2 linked regions of the Notamacropus eugenii genome follow. The protein of the gene in region 1 interacts with the protein of each later gene in a biochemical or structural test. Links are inferred from orthologs where the notes say so. Each region holds a gene or a part of one and is shown in the gene's direction. Other genes may lie near its edges.

Evidence for each region.
Region 2: the proteins of MAGI2 (region 1) and ADRB1 interact in a test that uses a peptide from one of them, tested with the Homo sapiens proteins (4 studies listed by IntAct, with this or other methods). The link is inferred for Notamacropus eugenii from reciprocal best matches to the Homo sapiens genes MAGI2 and ADRB1.

Annotation. Positions count from the first base shown.
Region 1 is NC_092874.1:155,950,765-155,962,958, reverse strand, and holds the start of MAGI2 (membrane-associated guanylate kinase, WW and PDZ domain-containing protein 2), read left to right. Parts: upstream 1-6,831; 5' UTR 6,832-7,409; coding exon 7,410-7,710; intron 7,711-12,194. UniProt on the Homo sapiens protein: Seems to act as a scaffold molecule at synaptic junctions by assembling neurotransmitter receptors and cell adhesion proteins. Plays a role in nerve growth factor (NGF)-induced recruitment of RAPGEF2 to late endosomes and neurite outgrowth.
Region 2 is NC_092872.1:192,516,988-192,528,746, forward strand, and holds ADRB1 (beta-1 adrenergic receptor), read left to right. Parts: upstream 1-6,184; 5' UTR 6,185-6,280; coding exon 6,281-7,711; intron 7,712-7,951; coding exon 7,952-7,993; 3' UTR 7,994-8,768; downstream 8,769-11,759. UniProt on the Homo sapiens protein: Beta-adrenergic receptors mediate the catecholamine-induced activation of adenylate cyclase through the action of G proteins. This receptor binds epinephrine and norepinephrine with approximately equal affinity.

The DNA of each region.
Region 1 (12,194 bases):
AATCTAGGAAAGCACACTCCCTCCCATTACACTAAAACTTATTTAAATATTTGCCAACAAAGGCTGCCTTACATACGAATCTGAAAATAGAAAGAAGTTCCAGTACCCAGATTCCAAACACAGAGTTTGCCTTCTACCTCCCCTTCTTGTTCCTTTGTCCTTCCCCCTCACCCAAAGATGTACCCATCTCCATTCCAGGTACTTATTCCCCCTGGCTGCCCCTGAGGGACCAGACATATCTATATAGGACCTTCTTTTTAAAAGAAGTGGCCCCTGCTCTGGTTCTGTCTTTCTCTTTTTTTCTCACCTAAATATGTGTCCAATTACCTCAAGACTTACTAGTTGTTAATTCAAATTAAGGTTAGTATTTCACAAGGAATTTACATCTTAATAAGTACTTCTGGAGTAGAATATTGTAATCCAAAGAAATGATCCCAGGTTCATAACATACCAGATACTTTTGTTTATTTTTAGATATAAATAGTCTTTCAGTAGCATCCCTTAAGAACTTCAGTACCTTCACTTTGTAGGACCATTCTGATTGATTGAAGAGTGACCACTGACACAGCATCCAATCTTTGTTTCTTCTGGTCTTCAAAATTATGTTGGAGATTCATTTTCCTCATAGCTTTTCCAGATTGAGTAAAGCTATTATCTTCTGGCTATCACAGAATCACTGAATTTTAGATCTGAAATTATCTAGTTCAGCTCTATTATTTTACATATGATGAAACTGAGAACCAGGTATCTGAAATAACATGCTGAAGGTCACATAACTTATTAATAGTAAAGCCTGGATCTCAATTCGTGCCTTTTTGCAATTAGGCCTAGATCCTGTCCAGTACTGCCTACTGCTCATATGTTTGCAACATTTATATCCAGATGTAATATAAGCTCATTGAGGGCAGGGGCTATGTGCTTTTATCTTTGTGTATGGAGTATGTAACACAATGCCAGACACATGGTAGACAGCTAATAAATGGTTGTCAAGTGGCTGATTATATAACAATTGAATAAGGAGAATCTCTGTTTCTGTTGTCTTTCATTTGTGTGTTTCTATGGATGGGTATACATCAGCATACACACAGATGTTCACATACATTTGCTACTAATGGTGATTAACAATAAATCAACTGGCAGATCACTTGCACCTGTACTGATACTCCAATTAACTGGGGTTTTCTTCACAGGAGCTCTTAACACATCAGCAAGCATTTGAGAAGCAATCAAGGTAATGTCTCAGGGTTGTTTGGTCTTTTGTATCTGAGGTCATTTTTAAGCATTTAACAATATTTATCATGGACGTTAGCTATTGGCACATATCCAATACATACTGTTCTTGCCTTCTTTATTACTTTGTAAGCTCCTTTAACTTCATTTGCTAATGCCCACAGTATTTATAACAGTGTCCTTTGTACATGATGTGCTTAGCGATGGAATCCATTTACAGGGATCAGAAGTCAAGAAAGAAGGCAAATGGAAAGTTGTATTGACTGTTGTATACTCAAATAATGGTCAGAATGTGGTTTCAGATGCTGCTCACATCCATTACTTAACGATCTGCTTTCTCTTGCAGTCAACTGAAAACAAACAAAAAAAACACAAAATATTAGCCCCTCATTAACAATTATCCAGAAAAGTCTGAGACATTTTATCAGGGAGAAATGGATTATACTCAGGTTACTGATTTCCAGAGAATAACAAAATATATTAAAAGGACACAAATGTGGCAGTGTAATATAATGTAAAGAGCAACAGAGCTGGAGTCAGATAAAATAGTTTCAATTCTGCTTCTATCTGTGTCTGTGTGACCTTGGGCAGGTTACTTACCTTTTCCAGACCTCAGTTACCTCACCTGTAAAATGAGGGGGTTGGATTAAATAACCTAGAAGATTTCTTCCAATTCTAAATCAGTGATCCTTTGACAGGATCATAAAATTCCCTCTTTCAGTCTAGATCTGAGATTTTACCAGAATATGGAACTATTGGTTAGCAAACTCTCTCTACAAAGCATTTTTTTTTTTATCCAATTAAGGCCTTAGAGCATTGGCTGGGGCACTGCAAAGTTAAATGACTTTTCTAAGACCACGCAGGCAGTATATGTCACAGGTGGAATTTTAATCCAGTTCTTAATTCAAAGGCAGATGATATACTGCCTTTGATTTTGAAGTATAACTTTGTTTTAGTTTCCTTAAAGATCATTTCACATGAGCCAAAAAAAAAAAAATCTTTAATACGCTGTCTTTCCCTTTGCTAAGAATAACTGGCATTTAAATAGCAATTTCAAGTTTGCTAAACAATTTATGTCTCTTACCTCTATTAAGCTTCAAGTGGGACCTCCATTTAATGATTACCATTTTGTAGTTGAAGATACTGGGGCTCAGAGTTTAAGTGACTTACCTATGGGCATACAATCAGCAAGTGTCAGAGAAGGAACACAATCTATGTGTGCTTTAACTCTCTGTGTCTCTGTCTCTCTCCTAATGTGCTCTTTTCAAGGTAATAACAACAATTAGAATTTATAGAGCACTTTGAGATTTTAAAAACTATTTCACAAATATTACCTCATTTTTCCTCATCCTAACTCTAGGGTAAGTATTATTATTGTAATTCTCTTTTTTCAGATAAAGTAACCGAGTCAGATAGAGCTCAAGTGACTTTTTCTAAACCAAGTAAGTGAACCAGCAAGAACCGGAACTCTGCTCTTTCTACCTCCAAGTTTAACACTATCCACCATGCCATCTAGCTGTCTCTCAAAGTAAGTATTCATATTGGATACCCTTTTCTATCAACATTATGTTTGGACTAACCTCCCTATGTGTTCTCAGAAACTCTGAGAATTTATGCCATATGATCAGCTCTCTATCACACAGAAGATCTGTTTCTAGAATTAGGGAGACAGCAATATATAACACATCTGGTTAGAAACCTCTGAAGAGGCAAAGTACAAAACATCAACTTTACAAATTCCACTTCAAATTCTAGGACAAGATGAGCCTCTAAGATTCTTGTGATTAAGTTCTGACCTTGAAGAATGACACTGCAATCTACCTGTATTATATGACCTCGCCAATTCCAGCTATCCAGTCTCTCTTTCTTAAGCCCACAGGACTTTGTCCTCAACTTTCAACCCTGCTCTTCCCCAGGTCCATTCAACTTTATGACTCTTTCCTCCTTTATCCAAGACCTTCTCTACTGTTTATCTAGTGTCTAATGATTGATTTCATCCACCTACATTCTTAGATGTTCCTCATTCCAAAAACAAACAAGCAAGAACAAAACCAAATTTTTCCTTGATTCTTCTATTTCAATCAGGTACTAACTATCCCATGTTTTTTTTTTTTCTCATCAGTGGTAAACTTTCTGAAAAATATTTGCGAGTATACAAGTCCTCTATTTCCTCACACTTATTCTCTAAATCTTGTAATCAAGGGCTTTGTCCACAGTCATTAATGGAAACTGCTCAAATAGCCTTTTTTGAGTACTTCCTTTATTTCTACTGGTTTTAGCATCGTGATGCCCCACTAGTAAATGCTCTCCCCTCCTTTAATTCATGAGCAAGACACACTCTTGGTTTTCCACTTTCCATTTTTCTCCTTCACTCGTTCCTGATCTTATTCCTGGCTTTAGTGGTTGCACAATTCTTCATTTCCAAAGGAAAGTACACTACATTCCTACAAGCACCTTGTCCATGCTAATGACTCCCAAGTGTAGATTTCTTTCTCCTCTAAGATCTATAACTACACATCAGGCTGCCTGTGGACATGTCTGCCTGAGTGTCCTATTGGCACCGCAAACTAAGAGCTCATTATAGTTTGCCTTTTTGTAGCTTTTATTCTTGGCTTTGGTCTTCAAAAGGAAAATAACCAAAAACTTACAGGAATTACAATGTAGCTTTTACTTCTTGATCTACTCTGCTTCTCCTACCACTCTCAGACAGAGCAGTATGAAAATTGAAGTAGAAAGATGGGGAAGGTGGTAGAAATCTACACCACTGACCAAAGACAGCCACAAACCAGAGAAGGTCAATCAAAAGTATAAGCTTCTTCTCCAGGATCAGTGTGGTTGCATTTAGAAGTGGAGAAAAGAAGGGAATATCCCCTGATTTTTCCTTTATTAGGAAATAAGTCAATTTAGCACCCTGAAAAGAAAAATAGAGTCTCCTAGAGGCAGGGGTCTCTCTGTCTCTGTTCTCTCTCTGTCTTGTTCTCTGTCTCTGTGTGTTTCTCTCATTTTCTCTCTCCTGCATTTCATGTGGCTTAAACTTTAATTTTATAGTCATTTAAAGTACAAAAAAACTTTGACTTTCTTAAGTTGGGCTCTGAAACTCTGGGGTGAGGAAAAAGTCCATCTCAAAATCATTACAAACCAAAGCTTCCTCCAGGCTCCAGATGTCCTGCTTTGAGGATGAGTGAATGAGATTCAGCTTAGTGAAGAAAAGTAAGAGAGAGGTATCCTATATATTAAAGCTTTAGAGAGAGGAAGATTTGAGACTTCTGACAATAGTCAAGAGTTAAGTATGTCATTCTGTGAAATGACCATTTATCCTATTTCTGAGGTTCATAACCTCAGGCTTATATTTGAATCTTCCTAATTTCTTATTTCCATTGAGTTTCCATGATCAGTGAATCTCAGCTTTGCAATATTGCTCACATCTGTTTGTTGCCTTCACCTAGAGCAGTCCCTCATTACTATCTGCCTAGAACAGGGGTGGGAAACCTGTGACCTCTAGGTCCTCAAGTGTGGCCTTTTGACTGAATCCGATTTTTTTTTTCTGTGAGGTTTGGCTTCAGTCAAAGGATCACACTTGAGAACCTAGAGGGTCAAATATGGCATCGAGGAGACAGGTTCCCCACCGCTGGTCTAGACTACTAATCTAGGCTCTTGACAAGTATTTCCTCTTCTACTCTCCTTCCCTTCAATCCATTTTACACACTGCTCTTTGTATTAGATTTCTTATGTATTCATCTCATCATATCACTCCTCTGCTCAAAAATCTTCAGTGAATACCTCCCAAACAATATTCTAATTCCCCTGCCTACTGTTTGAGGTTCTCTATAAATTCATGCCAACAGATTTTTCTAGCTTAGATCATATTACTATCAACCCCTTCTATTCTTTGTTCCCTGAATGTACCTTATGGCCTCTCATCTCAGGACATTTTTTTTCTCATCATTAATCTCAGTCATTTGACTTCTGAATTTCTAGTTATTATTTAAACCACAGCTCAAATGCTATACTTACCTTGAAGTTTTCCCTGATATGCTGCTGGTAACTATTTTTCTTGTTGGGCTTTATATCACAATTTGCTTTTATAACTCCTTAGAATACTTATAATGCAACACATTGTGTTACAGTTACATGTGTTTGTATCACATCCCTCCACTAAAATATAACCTCCATGAGAGCTGGGAGTCTACCTGATACAAATATTGTATTTCCAAAGTGTACTATACAAAGTTCTCCCCCATAATTAGTGCTTCATAAGTTTTCTGAATTGAATTATTAAAATGAATGTTCCTTTCATAAATTCATAACTTCTTTAGATAACGTAGGACTTTGCTGCAACACTGTTCCTGGCTTCTGGGCAATCCCAAAGGAGTTTGTTTTTTCTTCCCACCTTTTCAAAATATAACCCAGATTGGATGGTTCTCCATCTCTTGCAAATAGTGCACGTATTACTAATGTTTAAAAAATTCCATTAAAATTTTTCTGCTCTATATTAAAGAAACAACAACAAACCACGATCTCCCAGAAACTAAAATTTTAGGTTTTAAAGTGAAAGTAGCATCCCCTAGAATAATCCTTATTCTTCCATTCCCATCTAAGCCTTTCTCGGCAGTGAGTCACTTTTTAGCTCTTAGAGAACAAGTCTCTCTTCCTTTCCGTACTTTAAACCTGAGCTCCTAGTTAAATGCAGCAGCAATGAACAGGTTAAAATAGCTAAGCTCTCTCCTTAAATGGCTTCAACAACCCCCTTCCCCGTCTTTCCCCCAATCTCTTGCTTTTTTTTCTCCAAAGAAGTGGGAAGCCTGGATAAGGGCAGCCCTTGGTGCTGGGGGTGTGGAATCCCCCTGCCTACTTCCTGATTTGGGGGACTTCTGTTCCCCTAGTCCACCTACCATGGTTCACTTCAGACAGAGGGGAAAGTGGAGGGGGCGGAGCTGGCAAACTAGGACTCCAAGCTGCTTTAACCCTCTCCCACCAGCTACAGTCACTATCCCAGAGGTCTCCAACTTTTTCCCCCCTCCTAGAAAGAATTCTAAAGTCTCTGGCTCTGGGGACGTGGTAGGAGATAGATAAGCAACTCCTCTACATACTGAATTGGCATTCCCGCCACTTGTCTGTACTGCTCTCTGACTGCCCCCCCTTTCCTTCCCTTCTCTCTGGCCTTCCCTCTCGTCAACACCCCAACCCCCCCACCCCCACCCCGCGCGCACCTCCCTCCCCACCAAGTCCGGACGCATTTTCCCCACAGAAATCTCACGCCAGAGGACTTGCCCTGCCCAGGCTGCAGATGCTCTGGGATGCTTTCTCCCTCCTTCTTCATCTGGAGCCTGGGGCAGCAGGCAATAAGCACTGCGGAGCTGGGACAAGCGGCGGAGGACAGCCGGCCCGGAGGCTGCTAGGGCCCCCTTCTCCTCCTCTGGTCCTTCCTGTCCACTCTCCCCTCCCCTCGGCCAGCCGCGCTTCTTTCTCCCTTTGCCTCGGCTTGCTACCCGCCTTCTCCGGTAGGCTGCCAGGCGGACCCAGCCTGCCTTTCTCCAAGCCTTCACTACCGGGTCAAGCTGAGGAGGGGAGGGAGCTCCAGCAGCAGCCCAGAACCCCTCCCCTACTCCCCATCCAACAAACCCTCCTTCCCCTCCTCCTCCTCCTCCTCCATCCTACCTCCCCTCTTCCTTGCTGCCAGTTACAACTAGTACGCTCACAGCAGCTGCCATGGATATCAGCTAAACACACGCGCACACACACACACACACACACACACACACACACACACGCAGCGAGTGACCCCTAGTATCTCAACCCTCCCCCCTTTCCCTTTCCCTTTCCCCACCCCCACCCCCTCCCTCCCTCCCTCCCTCCCCAGCGCAGCTACTGCTCCGGCTGCTGCTGCCACCACCGCTGCTCTGCTCTCTGCCGGGGCCACAGCCTTGAGTGTCATTCAAGCGGCCGCCAAACACCACCCCAAGCTCTCTTATCCCAGCCTCAGCCGTCATCCCCTCCGCTTCCCACTTCCCATTCCACACTTCCCCCCAAAAGGGGAGGGGGGAAGCAAGCAGGGAGTGGGGCCGAGAGGAGGGAAAGCGAAGTCTTACCCTTCTTACCCCATCTACTCTCTCCTCGTCCTCTCACCTCCCGGACAGCCCTACATACCGGAGCGGAGCAGGGCAGACCACCCTACTGCCATGTCTAAAAGCTTGAAAAAGAAAAGCCACTGGACTAGCAAAGTCCACGAGAGTGTCATTGGCAGGAATCAGGAGGGCCAGTTGGGCTTTGAACTGAAGGGGGGAGCCGAGAATGGACAGTTCCCCTACCTGGGGGAGGTGAAGCCCGGCAAGGTGGCCTATGAGAGCGGCAGCAAGTTGGTACCGGAGGAGCTGCTGCTGGAGGTGAATGAGACCCCGGTGGCGGGGCTTACCATCAGGGATGTGCTGGCAGTGATCAAGCACTGCAAGGACCCTATCCGACTCAAGTGTGTCAAGCAAGGTAAGCACAGCTTTCTTATTTGTGTGACGGACAGCGAGACTCCGTCCCTGGGGCTAGAGGGTGGAGGGGCGTGCGTGTGTGCAAAAGGGGGTGTGTTGTGTGACGGTGGGGTGGGAAGATACAGAGAGTCATGCCAAAGCAAGGAAGATTTGAAGATTGCCCCACTTGGGGTAGTTTAAGGACTGAGGAGGCTAGGGTACAGATGAGGATGTGGCATGGTATGCAACTTTGTTTTTTTCAGTGGAATGAACTTGGTCTTGAAGGTGAGGGGAAAATTGAATGTGCGTCAGTGGCATCCCTTGGCGTGGAACTAAGATCTGGGGAAAAGAGAGTGGAAGGAAGGAAGAACTTAGGGAGCAGAGGCACCGCCAGCGGGGCAGAGAGGAATAAACACTTGCTGGGGAGAAGGGAGATGTGATAATTGGGGAGATGCGGATATTCCAGTGACCCGGACTGGAGACGCCGAAGTCGGTTGCCGGTTAGGAAGGAAAAGAACAGATGTCTTTGGGCTCTTTGACAGCTACTCAGTAACTTTTTTTTCCCCTTTCCCTCTTTTCTGTCCCCCCTCCCCCCTTCAGTCTTGTCATGTGGATAGATAGCGTCATGTGCAGCACCAAGTAACCCAGGGCAGTATTTAAACAACCTTGACTTCTAGGGATGAGACTAGGGCACATACGCAGGGTGCTGGTGCAGTAGAGAGCTGGTACTGGTACTGGGGAAATCTAATCAAAATGTACTGCGCTTAGTGGTTTTTTCCTCATTGAATGGAACTGTTATGGAGGAGTTGCCTCAGTAGGCTGGGCTTTCCCCTGGCAGGGGTTATTGGTGGGTGTGTTTCTAGGGAGAAGTGGATGGAAATGCCAGCTGGTTACCTCCCAGGCTCCTTCAACTTTGAGCTTCTGGGAGGCTTTTATCCTTTGGGCTTGCCCCTGATGTGAACATAGGAGGAATGGGGTGGGGGAGGAGGAGAGAGAGAGTGCTAGCTGAACTCTAGTAATCTTACTGGCTGTTTCTGTTTGAAGGAAAATGAGATTCCCCAAGGAGGAAGGAATGAGATAAAAGTTTGGCAGAGGGAATAACTTCAAGGAGACTCACATAGAGACTATTCTTTCCACATGTGTGTGCATGTGTATTCATAGGCAAATTTTGCACATTTCATGTGTATAGGGGAGTGAATATATATATATATATATATGATTGTGCAAATTTTTTGAGAGGTATATTATATTCTTACATTGTTAATAAATTAAAGATGCTACTTTTGTTTATAGAGATATGTACAGACACCCCCACTTATACATATATGATTGTGAGATTGTCCTCACAAGTGCAATTGACTGGCACCACAAAACTCTATTCAAGATATTTTGGTCCTCAAAAGGATTAGATGTATAAATAAACAAGTAAAAAAAAAATGCCTTGAAAAGGAAAACTTAACGCAGGAAAGGGAGGATGGGATTCAATTAGTGTAATAGACTGGAAAGAAAACAGACTCCAGAATCAGAAGACCTATGTTCAAATCCCATGTCATGCTTAATACCTTTGTGACCCTGGCAAGTCATTTAAACTTTGTGCTTCAATTTCCTGTACTGCAAAATGAGGATTGAGGAATAGATAGCTCCTGAGGAAACTTCAAACTTTAGATCTCTGATTCTATGACAGCTTTAAAAAGAGAATTTTTCAAAAATAGAAAAAAAAATCTTCACAAACTTAATTACAACCCTACTGAGAATTGAATCTATATGCAGAGTTGGATACAAATGCAGTATTTTATGCTTTCCAAAACTGCATACCCGGGGCTCAGCTATGAGGATTTGAATTTTTTTCTTTTTTGTCTGTGTTCTGTGTAGATCCAGCAACCATAGCTTCTAAGATTTCAACCCCTTCATCACTTTTAATGTGAAGAGATATTGCTTTTAATATGTTAATCAAATATATGTATATACACACATATACAGTCATATATGTATGTATATAGTCATATATGTATGTATATATGTTTATATATAGAAGCAACAAGTTAATATAGAGAAAATTTTGTTGAATGAGCATTTTCTTGAAGATTACTGGTTAACTAGCATTGCTGAGTTTCACTAGTAGAGTAATAATTAATTGCAAGGTATCATACTTAAGGCACTTGTATAGCCTGATGAGGCTTTTGAATCATCATGAATAAAATGATATTCAGTCTTAGTGGCTTAGTGTTGTATATCATGATAATATTATTATGATTCTTTGAAAGTTCATAAAAATGTCTATGCTTTAACCAAGATTCTTCTTTGTTCAATCCTGTCAGATAATAGAAAAGCTTATGGATCTTTATTATTCCACAATGGGAGCAAACTTAACCCTGGTCAAGCCACTGCACATCTCTGGGCCTCAGTTTCCTCAATTTGTTAATTGATAGAGTTGAACTGGATTCCCTCTGAGGTCTCTTCTGTCTCTAAATCTGTGAACTCTTGCATAGTTTTATACATTATTCTTTGCTTTTTCAAAGAAAGTACTTTGACACAGAGAGAACTGGCAACTTGAGAATAAAATGTGTACCTTCTCTTTGTAGTATGACTCTTAGATAACAACTGAAGTTTGAAATATGCTCTACTTTCAAATGATTATAATTTTCAAAAAAAATTGAATAGAGTAAGAAGAGTTTACTTAATCAATAAAGGAGAATATTAGTTTCCATCAGAATCTCTGATTTAATTAGTGCAAGGCATTCCAAGTAAGGAAATTTCCAGTGCAAGTTTTAGTATTCATGAGTTGCTTAGGGGCCAGCAGTGAGAGGTTCTAGGTGACTTTCCCAAGATTATAAAGAGAGTGTATATCAGAGGTGGAATCTGAATGTATGTCTTCCAGATACCAGATGACTTGCTACATACTACAAAATGATATGTTCATACATGAATACATATATTGAAAAATATTTTCATTTCAATTCATTCAAAAAATTGATGAATTTTCACTCTTATCTAGTTGTGCATTGGCTATCCCTGGATGTATTGCAATTTTAAGATATTGCTATCGATAGTCATTTTGCTATGTGGCTTAAAAGCATACATTTCTAAAATTATTATTTAGCCAACTTCATAAAAATCCACTTTTTAATTTAAGTTGGCATATTTCCAATTCAGACATAGAATACAAATGTGGAATATATAATTGTCCCAAATCCAATTTTTGTAAATTATTCCTTTTGTGCTTTTAAAATAATTAATTTTCATTACCCAAGTGATTTGCTCTTAAGTAACTGTTTTTACTTTCATTCATTTTATTGAGGAATTGTATTCATAGAAAATTCCTTGAATAAGATTCAATGGTGTGTGTGTGTGTGTGTGTGTATGTGTGTGTGTGTGTGTGTGTGAATTCTCACACAGATACATAGACATACACACTATAGTTCATAACACAGTCACAAGGAATACTTCTGTACTACATTTTTTGGACTGTGGCTACCAGTACCACCTGGTGACACAAATAGTCATGTACCATGGTTTTCTTTTGAAGTACTTACAAATGGAAAATAGGAGAAAAGGGAAAAAAGGAGAAGTAGCTTCACCTAACCCCCTTAGTTCCAGAGAAAGGGAATATTCTACCCATTACTCATTTGAAGACTCCAAGAAATAAAATGAAACATAATTACTAACAGTCTAATTTTGATCTCCTTTATAGAAAGAGTTATTTATATATTCCTTCTTTTTGGTGAAACAAGACACATACTCTCTCATAATAAAGATGACTTTTTCCTCATGATACTTTGAAGTAGGGGATGGGAATAGGAGATGTGCATCAAAATTAAATATTTTGGTAACTTGGCACTTTCTTTGATTATAAAATATCTTTACCATCCTGAAACAAAGTTAATGAGCATATTACTTTTATTTTGGCATGATTTATTCATGACATTTGTGTACATTTTCCCTGTACATAAGTAATTAAAGGAACACAATCTTGAAAGGACTAATCAACTATTTGCCTTTTTTAAAAAAAGAGGGAGATTAGTCTTAGAATGAAATCACAGTCAGAAGTATGTAAGTACTAGTCACTACTCATAACATTTACAATGTGAGATCTTTCAGCACATGCAGTATAAGCACATCTTCCTTTCAGTGACTTGAAACTCAAACATGCAAATTCTCAAGGAGCAAAAATGTACCACAGATCTCATCTTGGATTCTTTCTGCTTTAAACAATGGCTTTCAAAAACTCATTTAAAAATAGCAGACTAAAAAGTTGATAATCCTTTTCCAATTATGTCAGTCATTAAGATATGGTAGCATTGCAAAGTTTTTTAAGCTTAGAAGACTTCTCAAATTTTGAGCTAGAGTTGAGGGTTAATAATATTCCTAGTGGGAAAATGCAAAATGATTTACATATTTAAAGTTATAGTCAAATTCAAAGATATAGTTGATTTTTTTTGATCTTGAAGATGAATTAAAACTTTTTCTCTAAGTGAAGAATTAATCCTATAGTTAAAGATAATATCT
Region 2 (11,759 bases), on another chromosome or scaffold:
CAGGGAAGGGAAGGGAAGGGAAGGGAAGGGAAGGGAAGGGAAGGGAAGGGAAGGGAAGGGAGGGGAGGGGAGGGGAGGGAAAGGGAGAGGAGGGGAGGGAAGGGAAGGGGAGGGGAGGGGAGGGGAGGGAAGGAAATGAGAAAGGGAAAGCGAAAGAAAAGGTGTTTGGAAATCTTCAAACTCCCCTAATCATTGATTACCATATTCAAAGATGTTGGTGATGAATGTGTTACCAGCCAAGATAACACATCCAAGTGTGGTTACAAAATCAAGAAGTCCATTCCTAATGTCAACTTCAGGCTGTTCTTTGATTACTTAGCATTGTGTTGCAGTTTGCAGCCGTTATGCTTCATCACAAAAACAGCACATCTTTGCTTTAAAAAAGTCAACCTAGCTCAGATGACAGACTTAAGCTCCTGTTTCCCAGTCAACAGCTTTGATGTACCTCTTAAAGCTCTGCTCTGACATGTTCTCTATCCTATTTGTTCTAATTTCCTTTGTAATTGTTAGCATTTTCCCTCCTTCATCTCCCTCCAATTACTTTGCATTTACTTTGTACATATTTTATAGTTATTTATTTGCATACAAAGTGTTCCCCACCCCCAGTAAACCCCTAGGAGACAAGGCAAGGCCTGCTTTCATTTTTATCTTGATACCCCCAGCACCTAGCCCAGTGCCAGGCACATAGTATAGAACTGAACACCTCTAAACTCAGAGAATGTTCTTGGGTACACAGAAGTTTTCCCACACTTCAAGTTAAGCAGAGATGAAATCAAGGCAAGAACTTCAAAACTGGCAGACTCTAGAACCATAATGTTGGTAAAACTGTCTTCTGATATTAGGAATATGTGACATTAAGAGAACAAGATGTTTCTGGAAGATTCGTGTGTTATAACCAGTGCCATTACTGCTCACTGCCTTGTAAACATTTAATTTGGTCTAGAGCTCAAGTCATCTGTTTCCTGTTCTCCTAGTGAGAGGCTGACAGGACATGTGGTACTGTGTATACACAAACAATAAAAGTTCATTCGTCATGGTCATTTGTGAAGATTTGGGCTCATCTCATCCTGATACTGACTTAGCCCCTATATCCAGTCTGTTACCAAACCTCATCATTTTTATCTGCCCAGTTTCTTTCATGTTTCCTTCTCTCACCTAGTCGCCACTCTCCTTTACGTCCTCACCACCTCTTGCTGGAATTATTGCAAATAGCCTTCTAATTAGTCTCCCTGGCTAATGTCTCTCCCCATTCCAATCTAACCTCCACTTGACTCCCAAAGTGATTTTACTAAAGCACAGGTTTATCCATGTCACCCTCCTAAACAGCTGACTCCCTATCACTTATAAGAGCAAACATAACATCTTCTGCTTGTCATTTAAAAATCTTCACAGTCTGACCCCTTCCGACTTTTTCAGTCTTCTTAGATTACATTCCCCTTTCCACACGCTCTTTTGTTTGTCCTTCATTCTCGAACAGAAACATGACATCATGGACATGATGCCATAACATTCAAGTGAACTGTATGCAAGTGAGGGAGGGCTATGCAAAGACAGCAGCCTCACTTTCTCCTCTGGAGCCATCTGGGTCCAGTGACCAGATATACATCAGGACAACCAGAGATGGCCCCCTCCACACACTCTAGGATCCAGTTCCATTGGTCTTCTGGCGATTCCTCGCACACAACTCTCCAATTTCCATTTCCTTGATCTAGCATTGGCTCTCCCTCATGTCTGGAATTCTCTCCTTCCTTGTCTCCGCCTCTTATGATCCCTGGCTTCTGTCAAGACTCAGATCAAATCCCACCTTCCAGAGAAAGCCTTTACCAGTCCTCCCAACTTGTCAGAGCATTCTTCCCTAAGATTAACTCCTATCTACTCTCTGTATATCTTCTATGTACCTATTTATTTACATGGTGTATTTACAATTTACATTGTTCATTAGGGGAGCATGAGGAAGGGGCTGTCTTCGCCCTTCTTTGTATCCAATGTTTAGCACAATGCTAGATAAGTAGTAATAAGTAACATAGTAACAAGTAATAAAATTGCCTGTTAATTCATGTGAATCTCTAGAAAGTTATATTTATATATATATGACATCGAAATTCAATTCATTTACAAAAGTTGCCAATACAAATTGCCTTACACGATTATTATGAAACATGATTTTAAAGCATTTTAAAATATTTATATGAAAATAGTTAATAATAAAAGATATGGAAATGTGGAGAATCACAACATAATAAAATGGATGCATAATATAGCTGAAAAAACAGATTTTGCTTGTATTAGTTAACAATTTCAATCAAACTAGCAAGTATTTTGGTTCATAATAACTAACATTTATATAGTACTTACTATGTGCTGACCAAGGTACTGAGTGCTTTACTAATTTTATCTCTTTTGATCCTCACAACACCCCTGTATATTATTGTCCCTGCTTTACAGATGAGACAAAAGGAAGTTAAGTGACTTGCCCAGACTCACACAGTTAATAAGTGTCAACTATATGCAAGACCTCAAGAGTAAATTCCATTGGGATACAAAACTTTTAAGCAAGATATTATCTGTGTTTCCAAAGGGTTTACAATCTCATTTGGTAAACAACTGAAGACAGCATGAAAGGTATTTAACAATACCATCATTAAATAGCAGTTCAAGACAATTAGAAAAGAAGTTCCAAGGTAACACACAAATGGGAGAGGGACCAGATCCTTGATTTCAGTGACATATGGAATTCTGGGTTAGCACCTTCTCTGCAAATTAAGATTTTCCATGAGGTCAATGACTTGCCTGGAATAGCACAGCCAGTATAGGAAGAACTTAAAACTAGATCCATCCACCTGGCTCCAAAACCAGTTTTCTATCCACTGCACCAAGCTCTCTTTGATAAATGAACTAAACAAAATGAGAACTGTATAAGTTTAGAGAAATCAGAGTTACTTCAGTCTGGGGTAGTAATAGAAAACTATATAGAACAAGCCTGATATGGGCTAGATCTCAAGAAATAGGTAGGATTTTTATGGACCCTAGAAGACAGGGCATTCCATGAGCAAGAGTAGTAGAGGCAAGAGGCCTCACCTTAAGGAGAGGGCTGGGTACATAGTTTGGTTTATGGAGTAAGTGGTAGCTAAACCTGGAAAGTCAGGTTGGGATCATGCTAAAGTTTGGGGAGTCACTGAACATTTTCATGCAGAAGCAATCAATGATTAAAGTAGCATTTTAATAAGATCAGTCATGCTGCAAAGGTGCTCACTGGACAGGAGGGGAGGACTGGGGTCAGAGGGATTACTTAGGAAATTACTTCAGGGGTTAAGACATGACATAGGGGGCTTGACATGGAGTAACAACAGTGGGGATGTTAAGGAAAGCTGGATTCAAACACTGCAAAGGAAGACTCAAGTCTTTCAAAATGTACTATTGGATATTCCCTTTAGAACAATGTGTTTAGATGACAATCCAAATGATTACATGGGTGTGTTCCTCATAGAGATCATTTTAAAAACTACTTCTAGGAAGGGGAAAAAAACTATTTTAAATACGAAGTCATGACTTATGAAATAATTAAGAACAATCTAGGTGGGTATGTTGAACTTTCTCCTCTTGACCTGGTATACTTAAGGGAAAGAAGCCATATCAAAGCAATGCTAACAATCCACCTCAATCTCTCATAAGTAAATGAAGGAGTTAGAGGTAACCTAGTAAGGTTTCATTTTTAAAAGTATGCAAACCATATATTATATTAAAGGACCAAAATGGTTATTAATTGTTCCATTTTTTTTCTTTTTTGGTTTCTTAAAATCACTGCAACTTAGCAAATTCAACTGAGAAGTTCTAATATTTATCATCAGACAGAAACTCTATGTATTTTATTCTAAAGATCTATCAGCAATAATATAAGTAGCTTTTCGGTTTTGAATATTCATGTTGTTAACACATTTCTAAAACAGGGAATCAGAGTACCCTGTTATAAGAATTTCCTAAAACTTGGCAGGGGGAGGGGGTTTGTTACATTTAGAGTCTTATACAAGTCACATACTTCCATATATTTAGAGCATTCCTGCATATGATTATAGTCAATTTATTGACAACTAAGCCTTTAAACGCCCATACAACCAAATATTTTTTTATCTCTCACAGAAATATAATCAATAGTCTACTGTCCTTCTGCGATATTTAAGGCCAGTAGAATCTCTTCCTGTAACACTTGACAGTGATGGTGACTGATCGACAGCCTTCCTGTCCTCTCCCCATCACAGAGCAGCACCATTTCCAATCCTTTCCAGGGCCCTGATCTATTTTGAGACTCTCTCCAGATAAGGAGGAAGATGGGCATGTGCTTAAGCTTGACACAGGTTTGTAGTTACCTTAGGATGGTTACTCCATTGGTAGGAGGCAGGCTGGTAAATCTCAGGGCAGAGTTAAACAAATGCAGAATAAACAAATCACTCCCTGATGGTGTCCTCTTGTAGGTCAGGTTTGGGCCTGAAGCAATTTTTATGGCTGAATTCAAGAAATGCATAAGTTATATGTCTGAGAAGTGACCTTACAATATTTAACAGACATTGTTTATTGCATCTGCACTGCATGCTTGGAGAGCTAAGCACTCCAGTATGGTTGTAAAAACCAATTCCTCTGCTAGTGAAGAATTTGCCTGCCATCCAGGTGCCAGATTTCATTGCAGGAGTGCCGTTTCTTATTCTTATAATGTGGGCATACATGTGAACATACATATATGTTCATTATTCAGTATTTCTATTTATACATGGAATTAAAAGCCTGTATCAAGGCCATATAGCTGCAGATTCATGTTTTTCTTCCTTGCATTTGCAGATTTACTTTTATCTAGTCTTGTGCTGCTTTGGGTGCTGGTGATAATACCAAGATAATACCAACCCTGCCTTCAGAAGGGTTAACAACTGGCTAATTTGAAACATGTTCTTTTGGCAATTCAAAAGTCATCGCTATACTTCTTTAAATGCTTTGGGATTTTAATCCTCTTGAGTATTTACATATTTTCTCTTCTCATCCTTACAAAATTAATCCCAGAGTTTTAAGAATCTGGGAACTTGGGCAAGGGAGAAAACAACTGATCAAACTGAGAAATCAGAAGTCCCTGTTCATTACGTCAACCCAAACTGACAGCACTTTTTTCTGTTTGTTTTGAACCTCTTAGAATAATAAATCATGTGAGTAACAAAACAAAATACAGGTGTTATTACTGAGTGTGAAAGGTTTGAACTGTAATTAAACACGCTCTTTTTTGTAGGAAGTGTCATTTACTTTGTACGCTAACATTTGCGTTTCCTTAAACCTCTCTTTGTATTATCCACACACGGTTGCATCATACTTACACATTCATTAGCTGGGATTTGGATTTGGGTGTGTGTGTTTTTCCAATTAGTCTCCATCGTTAGATGCACAACCTTCGCTTCTTTTATGTAACTACCGCCTGGAGCAGCCCGAGCTTCTTAGAAGCCTAGCGCCCACAAAGCGCTCCTGACAGATGCGTGGTTATCCCCCCTGCGAAACCCGTAGCGCTGCTTGGGAGTTTCTCTCTAGCGGATAACACCCTTCTCTGATCCCCCTGAACCGACGGGTGTGAGGCTGCCCAGGCCCCTCTGACCAGGGGACACCGCCAGGTTTTCGGATCCGAGAATCAGACAAACAGCCCAACTCCTCCAGCCCGACTTTCCAAACCGCCCTTCTCTTTAACACCCTCAGTCTCCTCCCCTCCGAACCCAGCAAGCCCTTTGCAGTGGGACGGAGCACACGTTTCCTTCGCTAAGGATCCAGAGCCCCCGTCCCCCGTTCCCCCAGCGCAGGGCTGAGATCCGTGCTCATGCCGCCCCCCCTCACCAGGCTCCCCGGAGCCACTTAATTGCCCGTGGGAGGGCAGTAAGGCGGAGGAGGGGGGTGGGGGACAAAACGGGGGCGTGCCTTGGCCCCTGATTGGCCGCAGGACACTGACGCGAGGCCTCCGGGGCTGGGTTGGGGGGAGCTAACTGTGGGTTAGGGTGGGGTGCTGGGTGCAGGAGCTGCCAGACCGGAGCGCTCAGAAACATGCTGAAGTGTTGGCAGCGACAGCAGCTACAGCCGCAGCCTGCGAGAGGAGGGAGGCAGCAGCCGGCGCCGAGGTCCGGGGCTCCGCGCTGCTGCACGCAGCTGGCCTGACCTGGCCCCGGCCCCGGCCCCGGCCCTGACCTCTCTCGCCGTCCCCTCCCACCTCTAGGCTCTCCGGGCTCCGTCCCCACCCCGAGACTTCAGCTCCTGCCTCCTCACCATGGGAGATGGTGCGCTCGGCTTAGGCTACGAGCCCTACAACCTGTCGTCTCCTTCGCCGGCCCCCGACGGGGCGGGCGGGGAGGCCGCGGCAGCCACGGCCGCCCGGCTGCTGGTGCCCGCCTCCCCGGCCGCCTCTCTGCTGACCTCGACGACGCCGGCGCCCGCGGCCCTATCCCAGCAGTGGACGGCGGGCATGGGCATGCTCATGGCCCTGATCGTGCTGCTCATTGTGGCGGGCAACGTCCTGGTGATCGTGGCCATCGCCAAGACGCAGCGTCTGCAGACGCTCACCAACCTCTTCATCATCTCCCTGGCCAGCGCCGACCTGGTCATGGGGCTGCTCGTGGTGCCCTTCGGGGCCACCATCGTGGTGTGGGGCCGCTGGGAGTACGGCTCCTTCTTCTGCGAGTTCTGGACGTCGGTGGACGTCCTGTGTGTCACCGCCAGCATCGAGACGCTGTGTGTCATCGCCCTGGACCGCTACATCGCCATCACGTCCCCGTTCCGCTACCAGAGCCTGCTGACCCGGCCGCGGGCGCGGGCGCTCGTGTGCACCGTGTGGGCCATCTCGGCGCTCGTGTCCTTCCTGCCCATCCTCATGCACTGGTGGCGGGCGGACGGCGACGAGGCGCGGCTCTGCTACAACGACCCCAAGTGCTGCGACTTTGTCACCAACCGCGCGTACGCCATCGCCTCCTCCGTGGTCTCCTTCTACGTGCCGCTGTCCATCATGGCCTTCGTCTACCTGCGCGTCTTCCGCGAGGCGCAGAAGCAGGTGAAGAAGATCGACCGCTGCGAGCGGCGCTTCTACGGCGGCCCCCGCCCGCCGCCCTCGCCCTCGCCGCCGCCGGCGCCCCGCCAGCCGGGCCCGTCGCGCGCGCCGCTGGCCAACGGGCGCCCCGGCAAGCGGCGGCCGTCGCGCCTCGTGGCCCTCAAGGAGCAGAAGGCGCTCAAGACGCTGGGCATCATCATGGGCGTGTTCACCCTCTGCTGGCTGCCCTTCTTCCTCGCCAACGTGGTGAAGGTCTTCCACCGGGACTTGGTGCCCAACTGGCTCTTCGTCTTCTTCAACTGGCTGGGCTACGCCAACTCGGCCTTCAACCCCATCATCTACTGCCGCAGCCCGGACTTCCGCAAGGCCTTCAAGCGGCTCCTGTGCTGCCCGCGCCGGGCCGAGCGGCGGCTCCACGCCAGCGCCGGGGAGCTGTCGCGCGGGGGCTCCGGGGCCGCCACGACCGGGGGCTGCGGCAGCTCGGCCGCGGGCTGCGGCAGCCCGTCCCCCGCGGCCGCCGACGCGGAGCAGGGGGAGCTGCTTCCCTCGGCGCCTCACTACCTGGAGCCCTGGGCCGGCTGCAACGGCGGGGCGACCGGGGACAGCGACTCCAGCCTGGAGGACAGGGACGGCAAAGATTCGTATTCGGAATCCAAGGTATAGGACCGGCCGCTGGGCAGGGGCAGGGGGCGGTGGGGCGGAGGAGGGGGCCGGGCTTGTGTTTTCTTTTTACTTTCTGGCGGGGGCTACAGGGCAGGTGGTTTCGCGGTGGGGGGCCGTCGGGGAGGAATGGGGGAGTGGGGCTTCCCCCCCCGCCCCTTCCCCACACCCCCACCCAGGAAACTGGTTTGGAAGTTCAAGAGGAAGAGAGCCAACAGCCCTGAACTGTCTTCACAGGGAAGGGAGGATCTGTGTTTACTCAAGACCGAAAGCAGGTGATAGCGTATCCTTCATACCTCTTCTGAATCATCCGCGACAAACAAAAGCAACTGGACCGTTGAAAAGAAGGAAAGTTGGGGACGGGGGGAGTTGGGATTTTTGGACTTTTCTTCCTGACTTCTGGGGGGAAGATGCCTGTTTTACCTTTTCCACTCTAATTCTGATCCTTCAGGCAAGGATTGAGAAAGTGTTAACTGGTTAGATAAGTGGGATGGAGAAAAGAAGATGGGATTCAGAAAAAAAAAAAGAAAAAGAAAAACCATCCACTTGGTTTCTCCAAGAGCTGCACTTAATAATCCTGCTTTGGAAGACTATCACCTGTTCCCATCCAATTCCCGGGAACTGGACCAGTCAAAGTAAGAGAAAAGGAATCTGGAAAGTTTGATGGGACAGGGTTTTTCTCGGTTCCACGAAAGATTTTTGTCATTATTGTTTCAAAGTCTGAATGGTGACATCTTTAAAGAAAGCAAAGTGGAAAGGTTGCAAAAATCACGTTCACCTTTTACGAGTTTTATTTAGAACAAACAACCTGGCTTTCCTGTTTCGTCTTGGCAATGGTGATGAGGCAGAGGGATTCCTACCTCAAACTGTGCATATTGCACAGGGATTTTTTTTTAAAGATATGTTTATATTAAACAGATTATTTATGTATCAATATTAGTTAAAGGACCAGGCGCCAGCCTCTGTGACACGTGACTCTCACAATTTGGAGAGAGGAAACAGTCTTAGGGTCGAGAAAAATTACTGCACATTTGGAAAAAGAAAATAAAAAGAATGGTTCAAAATGCTTTTTTGCACAGTGTTAGAAATTGTAAAGTCCACTGAAGATATTACTTGCACACACATACACACACACAAAAAAAAAACCATTTAATGAGGGGAGGAGAGGGAGTTGAAAATAATCTGAAATCCAAACTCTACTTTTTTGTCTGTTATATTACTGAGTTGATGTTTTATTGAAAAAAATGACTTTTTATACTATTTTATCATGGTACTGTAACTGTATCCATACTAAAAATTTAAATATAAGGATTTTTTTTATTATTTTTGTACGTCCAAGTGCTCACGTGAATCTGCTGTTAATTTAGCACTTGTGTGTCCTTTCAATTTCCTCCTGTGTATTTTATAAAGTATTTATACTCTGGTGCAACTAACTACTGTGTAAGTAAATGGTCTATGTGCAATAAATACAAATGCAGCACAATCAAGATATGTACAGTGTATCTGTAGGAGTTTGGAAACAATTTTCAGCTGTAATGAAAAGACTAGCATTTGTTTTGCTTGCAGTAAGGATTGGATTTCCAACGCAACTATTCCTAATAGCCTTTCCTGATGTAAAAGCCTGGCAAAATGTGGTCTAGACCAAATAAAACTATATTCCTACTGAGAACTTCTAATTTTCCTCCAAAATTCATAGATGGATTCAAAGGCATCTCCTAACCATTTCTAGTATAGCAAGCTCCCATATGCTGGACTGGCCTTTTTCTTAAGAGGAAACATTTTGGATTATGTAAAGAAATGTAATTTTACCTTCGAAATACAATCTTCAGAATGACAGGTAAAACAACTGCTACTTTGCACAAAAGAATAATACATGGATTGCATAATTTGTTACCTGCTTTGAATGAAATCAGTAATTTCTTGGGTTTCCAATATGTAGCCGACAAAGTTCAGTGTACAGTATGTATATTTCTCTAATGGCTATTTTGAATGTAAAATGCTTCCGTGGTCAAATGATTATTTATAAAAATATTTTCCTTTCAAGTGGCTTTTTCCCGTTTATTTATCTAATCAATCTTTGTAGCATCATTTCAGATGGATAGATAAAATTTATTTGACAGATAATATAAGGTTTCCCTGCACCAAGATTTTTGGGATACCCTATATGGCATTTATGGGATTATTTAGTAGCTTTGTAACATGCAAAAGTATCCAGAATATTTTTGTAGTTTGTTTCTAGAGAAAGCATTGTGAAATTCCTCCCAGTGAAGGACTGTCCTCCAAAGTAAGATTCCTACTTTTGTACTGAGTTTTTTCTTTTAAAATTTTATGATAAGCAAGCCAAAGTTCCACCTATCAACGTTTGGTATATGCTAAGTGTTAACACTCATATGTCGCTTTGTCTGTTATGATAAGTCAGGATAGACTACTGTTCTTTTGGTGGGATGTTTAAGGAACCTGTACTCACACTGAATTAAGATAAATATTAACATTTTAGTGAACAGTAATAGGTCGCATGGGCTTCCACAGTTACACAGAAGCTGTTACAAGTTTAAACGTCTCCACCAATACTGAGACTTTAAAGTAAATACAGTTCTTTAAAGAAAAAAAATAAGGTGAGACAGCTTAAAACAGTTCTATTCCCTCCCTTATCTGCTGTTAGTCTAGAATACTAAAGACCATGTAACGTTTTGCCTCGTAGTCCTTGTGGCAACAAACAAATGCTTTGCTTTCCTGATCCACTCAGTTTAACCTTCCCATGAAGTAAGAAATTTCCCTGAATGAAAACGGTATAAATAGGCCCTTAATATCTAGAGACTTGGAGATCTTAGGAAATTTCCTGGATTTTTACAACAAATAAGCAAAAAGTAGTTAATTCATGAGCATTACTTGTTCCTTAATAAAACTTAGTAACTCTTTCCCAAAGAAAATACTATCCTTTTTAGCTAATTTTATACTCATTCGGGACCAAAAAGATTCTGTGTTCAACAGGTTTCTCTTGGTTTTTACGAGTAGATGATTATGCCTACTCAGGGCTCTGGTAATGATTCCAAATATCCATGAAAACTATTCTTTAGGTCTTTTTTCTCTCCTCTATGTCTCTTCCTCTTTATCTCCCTCTTTCTGCATCTTTATGGGTCTCTCTCTTTCTGTCTCTGTATCTCTCCGTGTCTGTCTGTCTCTTTCTCTTGAAGAAAAACAGACACAGATTGACAATGAAAGACAGATTACCAAACATGTTTACTCTGTTAAGATACTGCATAATGGAGTGAAAGGAAGAAAGAATATGACAGAGTAGAAAGGCATAACAAATACGCAGGAAGTCCTCATGTTAAGTGTGTTTGTGTATAGCAGGCACATTTGCTTTTCTGATGTGCTATAAATACAAAATTTAATGATCAAAAAGGAGGATGATGTGCCCAGTGACATGCTATGCTACATTTGTAAGTGATATTTAAGTATAGCTCTGCAAGATTCCGTGCAATGTGATGATTACAACCTTTAGAAATATAATGATGTTCCCAACAGTATAAAAACTATGGATTTAACGGTGTATGTGAGTACAGAAAATTCTGTTTTAACCTTTGGTGAACTTAACTTCTTTTATTAGCAGTACTTTACATGAGTGTTGGGGAAAAAAAAAGTTTGCAAGTAAGTTTTGGTCCACACCTTTGAAATTGAAATTTTATTAATAACTATTAAGTGGCTATTGTGAAGGCCCTTCCTTGGTAAGCACACTTTCCTAACTTATTTTAATTTCCTATTTTTGTTGAATGTGTTGACTTCCTCCCCGTAGTATGTCAAATTACAGTGGCGGAAGTTCTGCATCCAAAGTGTAAGCACAGTCTTAGAACCCAAATTTGAACAAGAACCATGAAGTAAGGGTTCAAATGAAGATCATCTACAGTCACCATGGTCAGTTTCCAGCAGCACTTTTGATCAAAGTTGGGCCTCCTGAATAAGAAAGCCTTGAAAAGCAGTAAATTCCAATTAACCATACTGGCTCAGAATAATGTAGTTTTAGTTGATAGGATAATGTGCTGAG